Oreochromis niloticus: one gene and its partner. The protein of the gene in region 1 purifies or fractionates together with the protein of each later gene. This does not show direct contact. Links are inferred from orthologs where the notes say so. Each region holds a gene or a part of one and is shown on either strand. Other genes may lie near its edges.

Evidence for each region. Proteins that work in one complex are often made in the same cells at the same time.
Region 2: the proteins of lig3 (region 1) and pnkp purify together in Homo sapiens (co-immunoprecipitation; 5 studies listed by BioGRID and IntAct, with this or other methods). This does not show direct contact. The link is inferred for Oreochromis niloticus from reciprocal best matches to the Homo sapiens genes LIG3 and PNKP.

What each region holds. Positions count from the first base shown.
Region 1 is NC_031975.2:27,120,195-27,123,949, reverse strand, and holds the start of lig3 (DNA ligase 3), read right to left. Parts: upstream 2,635-3,755; 5' UTR 2,486-2,634; intron 854-2,485; 5' UTR 826-853; coding exon 273-825; intron 1-272. UniProt on the Homo sapiens protein: Isoform 3 functions as a heterodimer with DNA-repair protein XRCC1 in the nucleus and can correct defective DNA strand-break repair and sister chromatid exchange following treatment with ionizing radiation and alkylating agents.
Region 2 is NC_031979.2:9,018,880-9,022,634, reverse strand, and holds the start of pnkp (bifunctional polynucleotide phosphatase/kinase), read right to left. Parts: upstream 2,659-3,755; 5' UTR 2,595-2,658; intron 2,589-2,594; exon of another isoform or gene 2,385-2,588; 5' UTR 2,352-2,384; coding exon 2,231-2,351; intron 932-2,230; coding exon 885-931; intron 684-884; coding exon of another isoform or gene 635-683; coding exon 356-634; intron 245-355; coding exon 1-244. UniProt on the Homo sapiens protein: Plays a key role in the repair of DNA damage, functioning as part of both the non-homologous end-joining (NHEJ) and base excision repair (BER) pathways.

The DNA.
Region 1 (3,755 bases):
TGATTTGCGGGACTGTGAATTTAAATTTCAAGAATAGATCAGGCCACATCAAAAGTGCACTGCAGCCGAGATTCACTGATTGTTGACTTTATGAACACAGGAGCTTGATCTGATTCCAATAATAAGTAAAATTTTCCTTTGGCCAAGGCTTAAATATTACCTGTGAGCAGTAGAAGGGTTTAAATATACAATAAATGTATGTTCACAGACAATTTTTCTGTATAATAAGCATTTTAAAAATACGAAATTTACATTTTGAGTGTCTTTTGTACCTGAAACGTGTTTATTTATAATCTCCTTGTCGTCGTCCTGTAATTCCTCCCAGCCCTCCAGGTCGGTGATGTCCTCGATCTTCTTCGTGGTGGCTCTGGCTCTTTCCAGCTTTTCGAATATACACTTCACATGGTACCACTCTTTCATCTCCCCTGCAGACTCACTGAAAGGGTTTGGCACAATTTTGCCTATGCGCACTATTCCCTTCTGGATTTTGTCCTTGCATTTCTTACATCCTGCTGTGCCACGTTTGGCGTATTCAACGAGAAACCTCTGATCTGCCATATCCGGCTGATTGGAGAAACTTCGATGCAGGAAAAACCAGGGAGGATAGTTTGGGAGAAGACTGTGCTTTTGGGATACTGAGGAAAACGCAGAGATTTTCCTTGTAAAATGTAACTCATGAAAAGACAAAGGTAGACGCTCAGCACATGAATAGACAGAAAAGGCCCTACACAACCTGAAGTATTTCTGACATCTAACAAGTTTTCCAGGGGGATTTAGGACTACGCGGATAGTCTTCTGAAGCAATAAAATGAGAGTTTTCTGCATTAAGTTGCAATGATGAACAGTTCAGAACCTAAAAAAAGCAAAAGGACATAATGGTTAATGACACAGCTTTCTTTTAAATACAAGGTACCTTAATATACTAAAAAAACTCATGCTAACAGCTCTAATAAAAGGTTTACTGACTCAGCAATATTTTATGCATTCATTGCAAGTGTAAATTTCCTGATTCCAGTTAAGCAGTAACATTGCTTCCCACTGCACATTTACAGGGCTTCTGCAGGGTTCATAACAGCAAATGCATTACTTTGGATCCCTTTTTAAGGCAATTTAATACATTTTATAGTTGTATAATCCAAAATATTAAAGATAAATGGAAAGCTAGTAGGACCAGTGTGACAAAACATTATTTGTAATATTTCAGTACTTACTTAAAATCATATGAAAATGTTTTTAACGACACAACTGAGTTATTTCATGCAATGTTGACCTAAATCAGTGCAACTCTGGAGCCACATGAGTCTCTTTGATCCCACTCTCGTGGCTCCAGGTGGCTGTGACAAAACAATTAGCAATCCCTGAAGAAATGGACTACGAACCCAACAAACAAACAAACAAACAAACAAACAGCCCCACAAAATTAAACTTAGACTGGTCGTTTTTTGTTTGTTTTACTACTTCTAAAGATATTGTGTTGCTATATGTTTTATTGTTAAAACAGGCTACTTTTGCATTTCAAAAAATTTTGTTGGTAATAAAATAGATAAAAACAAAATAATACTTACAAAAATGCTATACAAATAGCATTATCATAATGAAAATGCTAACAGTACCAGATAAGCATAAATAGGCTACAGCAGAGTAGCCGCATGTGTGAAAAGATTTTTGTTTCTCCACCTATTAGTAACGTTGATAGGCTGACTTATAGTAATGGGCTGTGTAGCTTTCCTTATAAGTCTCCAATATCTTCTGTTGCTCCATTCAGAGTTTTTAAGTTGAAAGAAAGAAAGAAAGGGGGGGGGAAAGCCCTACATTCCGACGATAAATTACACAGATTTCACTGCTCTTGCAAAAGTAAAGAAGGAAAAGGTCAGGATGCTCCATACATAAAAAAAAACATGACCTTACAATTCTCTAACACAAATCTACAGAAAACAAAAGAGCACAAGGATTACCCTGTTAGACAGAACAAAAAAAGTAAGACTATTACATGTCATATATGAGCTTTCGAATAATGGCAAACAGCTAAAATTTAAAGGATTAACAAACACAGATCGATCAAAGTGCTCTAGAGTGTCACTGGACAGTTTTTCCATCTTGTTTATTCTTTACTGTAGTGACTTTAATGCAACACAATGTTTTCAGTTCAAGGCTAATAAAGGATTTTGGAAAAGACACACAAAGTACACGTTGACTTATTTTAATATTTACGCATATTTGAAATAAAACAAACAAACACCATGCCTATTCAGTTACACAAGCGTGCATTTTTAAATGTTAAAGTTAAGCGCACCTCCAAAACATCCGACGTGTAAGTTTGATGACACGAAGGCAAGTGGATATGCTCACTAACGTTAGCATTAGCAATGCTCACTTTGTTCTACGCTCACAGGAAATTATCATGTCTACTTAATAGACTGCACACCAGTTATCACAAATACTTTAACGTGCTGCTAACAGTGCTACACGTGTTTATGTACTGTACCTTAGAGAAGCCGAGTAAACTGTAATAGGACGCTTTAAACTGCTAGCAATCCTCATTGTTGTTAGCCAACAGCCCAGCGACGTTAAGTCAGCGTCATTGCAATTTAAATATGCAAAACACTTCCGGTTTGGCTCCGCAAAAATAAAAGTAATGAAATTTGTAGTAGTTCGATTTAGAACAGTTCCGACTATTTACGACTTGTATGTAACTCCTTTGTATTAATTGCATGAAACTGTCCCCTTACAAAAATAGTAAAAGGTGCCCTAATTTGTATCCAAAAGGAAACTTGACGCTTTATTTTAAAAGACAAGCAGCCATTTCCGGAAACTTTCTGCTTAACCCCGATTAACTTGACACAACTAGCAATCCTAAAGGGGCTAGTGTGTAGGCTAAGAAGCATGGGCTGCAGCCTTTTTTTTCTTTCCAGAAACTTTATTTAAACAAATATAAACAGCAACGTAACAATAACAATGACAGTATATGACCAGATTTACAGTCGAAAAGAGGTAAATACAGTCCCAGGGAACAGTTGAAACGTAATAATGGGAGGAAAAATTATGTATTATGTAAAAATTACATAATAATATTTGGAAATTGTGATAGAGCTCGCACCAGAGTTTCTTCTGCATTCGATTTGCCTTTGTTAGTCAATAATTTTATACATATCGAGTACTGTTAGGGTCGTTGCCGCTGTTTAAGTTTTCAAATCTATGCGAAAATTAAAGAATGATATCAATTAAAAATATACCAACATTTTTAAAATTTATTTTATTTTACGTACATGAAACGTTCCCAGAATTATCAGAAACTTCCCCAGAAAACAAATGTTTTTATCCACTGTGTTTTCACAAAATAAAACAGCTGTATAATAAAGCATGGGCATTTTGCCTGTTTTTTTGTTGTTGTTTTTTTCAAATTACAAACTATTGCACATTAATCCAGCATATTTTGGAATACATATACAAACAAAATAAATGAGGAATAGTTTATTTATTTAAATCACAGAAATGATCAATATTCAGTTTAAATCTTCCCAGGCTTTAAATTATTATTGTTATTTTAAAGTTTTTTTATTATTATTATTTTAGTCACAATACAGTATTTGTCTGATATGTCTGGTACATGTTCTATATTTATAACATGGAATTCACTATAAGATAACAACCCATCTTTGAACTTGGATGACATCATTGTAGATGATCCATTTCTGGATTAAAATAATTTTGTGTTTTAGTTGAATAACTTTGTTGTTGCATATGTAGGATCTGTG
Region 2 (3,755 bases), on another chromosome or scaffold:
ACTGCTGCCAGCTGCTCTTTAGACTTGGTTTTGAAGACGATGACGGCTGGATGCTGCTGCTGCTGCTCTCCTCTGTCAGGGATTTTTTGGCAAATTCCTGAAGGTGCTTGAGCCGTTCCTCAGCCAGTCTCTCCTCCTCATCCTGCTCCTCCTCTTTCATCTGCCTATCAGAAGCTTCCTCCTCTTGTCTTTGGCGCTTCACCTCAGGTTGCTCTTTCTTTGGGCTCAGTTGCCTTTTAGATGACTAAATAACAAGGAACAAAACAGCGATTTCTCTCATTCTGGCTCCTCTTTATACATATAGAGATGCTTGTAGACAGTTAGATGCATGAATCAATACATCACAGAGGTTTACCTTCACGGGAGAGCTGGGGAAGAAATCCTTTATGTTGCGTTTGGGTGTGGGACTGGACTGTGCCTCTTTTTCTTTCGAGCTTGTCCCTCCTTTTGTCTTATCTGCTGCTTTCAGCCCTCTCTGTGCCGTGCTGGAGGTGATTCCGTTGGAGCTCAGAGAGTAGTTCAGTGCGAATGGGTGGCTCTGGTTAACTAGGTAGAGAGTACCTCCATGGCTGAGTTTACCAGACTGACCCCGGCCCAGCTTCTCACCATCCACGAAACTGGGGTTGGGACCCAGCTGTGGAGAAATGGACATTGGACTGTAGCAGTTACAGTTAGCACATGAGCTGTGAGGTAACAAGAGTGGACAAAGAGGACAATGTGCTGACATCAGCTTTGAACATAATGACACAATGGTTGCGGGTGGATCAGGTGTAATTGCTTGGAGTTAAATATTAACTCGCGGTGATGTTGAAGGGAGTGTGCTCTAGTTTAAAAGGCAGGGTCATTATTCTACTGTGGAGGCACCCAGTGTTTGTTCTTCATACCTGTGTAACAACAACATCCTGGTCTGCAAAGCAAGCCACCACCTTCACTGTAATAAATAAAAAGACACACACAATCACACACACACATTTCGTATGTATACACATCTAGAGCTGGGACCAAAAAAACTAAAACAAGACAAAACAACAACTGTTTAACTCATTTTAATGTAGATTTGCCATTTAAATGCAGTGTTTATTTTGCAATATCAAAACTAAATGCAGGAAAGAAATGCCTTTCCTAATTTAGAAAATTACCATGTGCCATTACATACAGTACTGTGCAAAAAAAGTCTTGAGCCACCCATGTTGTCGTTATACTTTAACAGACTTGTTTTTTTTAAATAAGTCTTGAGCAATAGTTCTCCTGGATTTCTCAAGGTCTTCAAAGTTTTCTTTGGACATTAGCTGCTTTTTCACTCATTTTCAATCCACTCCTTGTACCTGACCGTTTTCAGAGAGATTTTTTTAAAATTTTGTTTTGTTTTATTTAGTTTTTTTTTTTTCTTTGTTTTTTTGTTAGGCCACTTAACACTGACTGGCATTAAACTATATCTAATTCAAGGAAGGAAGTAGTGTTGTGTCTTTAAATAAAAGTTAAAGAACCAATTCCAAACTGTGTTGCAAGAACACAGTCATTTGTTGCCATTTCCTTAATGGAACCTATGAGAAATAACAAAGATAACTCAGTCTGCCAGGCAGAAAACTGTATGTTTGCACCAATATGGTGATTCCCAAAGAGCTATTACCTGAATATTTGGCACATTTCAACATGGCCTGCAGTTTGTCCTTAAAAAATTTTGAGAACACCCAGTAAGCATGCTGTCTTGGGACCTGTGTGAGGCCACTGTGGTCCCCAGCACAGGCATGAATTGTAGGGCACATCTGGCCCCCAACCACTGAAACATTTATATACATACCTACTGATTTTCAGGAAGGAAAAAAAAAAAGTACCAGCCTGGTTCTTTTTCTTGCTCTATTTGACTCCCCGTGGATGCAATTTTAAGCTCCTCACTTAATAAGTACATATATCTGTATGTAAAATTGTAACCAAAGTTCAGTCATCATGAGTTTAAATCCCTGTTAGTGACTTGTAGAGTGAATGAAAGACACTCAAAACACAAAACTCAGCACCACTGATTTACTTTCTCACATAAATACATGAATGAATGAAAGCTTACAGCCACATTAGCAGTATTTTCTTGCGCTGTACACTGTAAAGTACTTTACAGCTTTAGGGTGGTTTGTTATAACGTTTAAGCTTCAGCAGAGCACGAGCACTAACAGCTTCGCAGATTTAAATCTAGAGGGTCTCGCGGTAAATGTGGCACATAAGCGGGACGCCTCACCCTGATGTCTGGAGCACTTCTTATCTGTGACACCAGTGTCCGGACCCCGGCCCAGAATCACAGCCCGTCCATCTTCGAGGGGGATCCGAGCTCCAGAGGCGCCAACCAGCGTGCAGGACATTCGAACACGCGGCCACAGAGAGGCTGTCTGCCCCTGTGTTTGTGTTTGAAACTCTTTTTTTTAGTCAAGCCAAAGTACAGGACATTAAACGGCCTCACGCAGTAGTGTTTATCATCATTACAACTTCAACTACCTCAATTTCTTTTCGTCTTCTAAAGAAAAACTTGAAGAATGTGTGAACTAGAAACTGCAGGGAACTGATTTTGCAGCGTTGTCCCCGCGGTCCGACACAAAAATACCTACGTTTAGCAACGTCGTCCCCGCGTGAAGTTCCGCTCAAAGTATAGGTTATATGAGCAAAGTCGCGGTCAAGCTAGCTGGAGCTGAAATAATTTTGTTTCTTTTATTTTCTTTTTTTGAGGGGGAAGTCAGCATTGAAATCACTTAAGTTTTAATATATATAATGTGTAATGTAAGAATGATAATGTACAATATATGTACAATCATGTGTATGATAATTTGTTAATATAGCAAAACGTGTTCTGGACTGCGCAATCACATGGTAAAAAAACAAAACAAAAAACTGCAGGATAAAGAAGACTTTATTCTGCTGGGTTTGTGAGTCATTCGGCACTGGTACCGTGTTATCTGGAAGAAAAGCGCAACAACATAGGTGCTGCTAACTGGACCACGGCGTAATATTTCCATAACATGTCGCCACTCTCTCGTTGTTGACACGTGTAATATAACAACAATGCATAGTCATATTACTCTCCCTAGATGGAATAAGACGTTGTCATTTGCTGCTCATTGAAGGAGTTAAATATTACATCAGTATTGGTGAGTCACTATTTTCGTTTTCAGGTCCTATAATGGGCGAGACGGGAGAAAAAGTTAATACGGAAATAAGACAAAGTAACACATTGTTCTGGTTACACTTTGGGCTAAAAGCTCATCTAAAGACTAATTTAGTGTGACGAACAACTGATCACTATTTATTATGCAAACTTTAAGTCTAAAGCGGAACGACGAACGAATAAAGTGTAATCACGCTATGCTATGGTCAAGCTGAAAGATATTATACTTTGATATAATGCAAAACCCAGAGATTAAAAAACACTATATTCTGCTGTTTATTTTACCTCCAGAAAGTTCTGTGTTGTGCTTTTCATCATTCACAACTATTTACTAATGATGACAGGATGAGCAGGTTTCTCCGTGGGCTACATACTTATTTAGGGTGTATCAGTGATTATACCCTTGACATATTGATAATGTTGACATAGCTACTGCTGTCAGTTTCCATGCTTTTGTTTATTTTTTGCTGTGTTCAGTAGCCCGTCTGTGGGCTGTCCTCATCGTAAACCTACCACTCATGAGCTTATCTCCTCAACTCCTCAAATAGGCACTCCCTTTCAGATTCTTTATTCTGTCAGGTAGAGTTCTTTGTGTGTCACCTGCCTT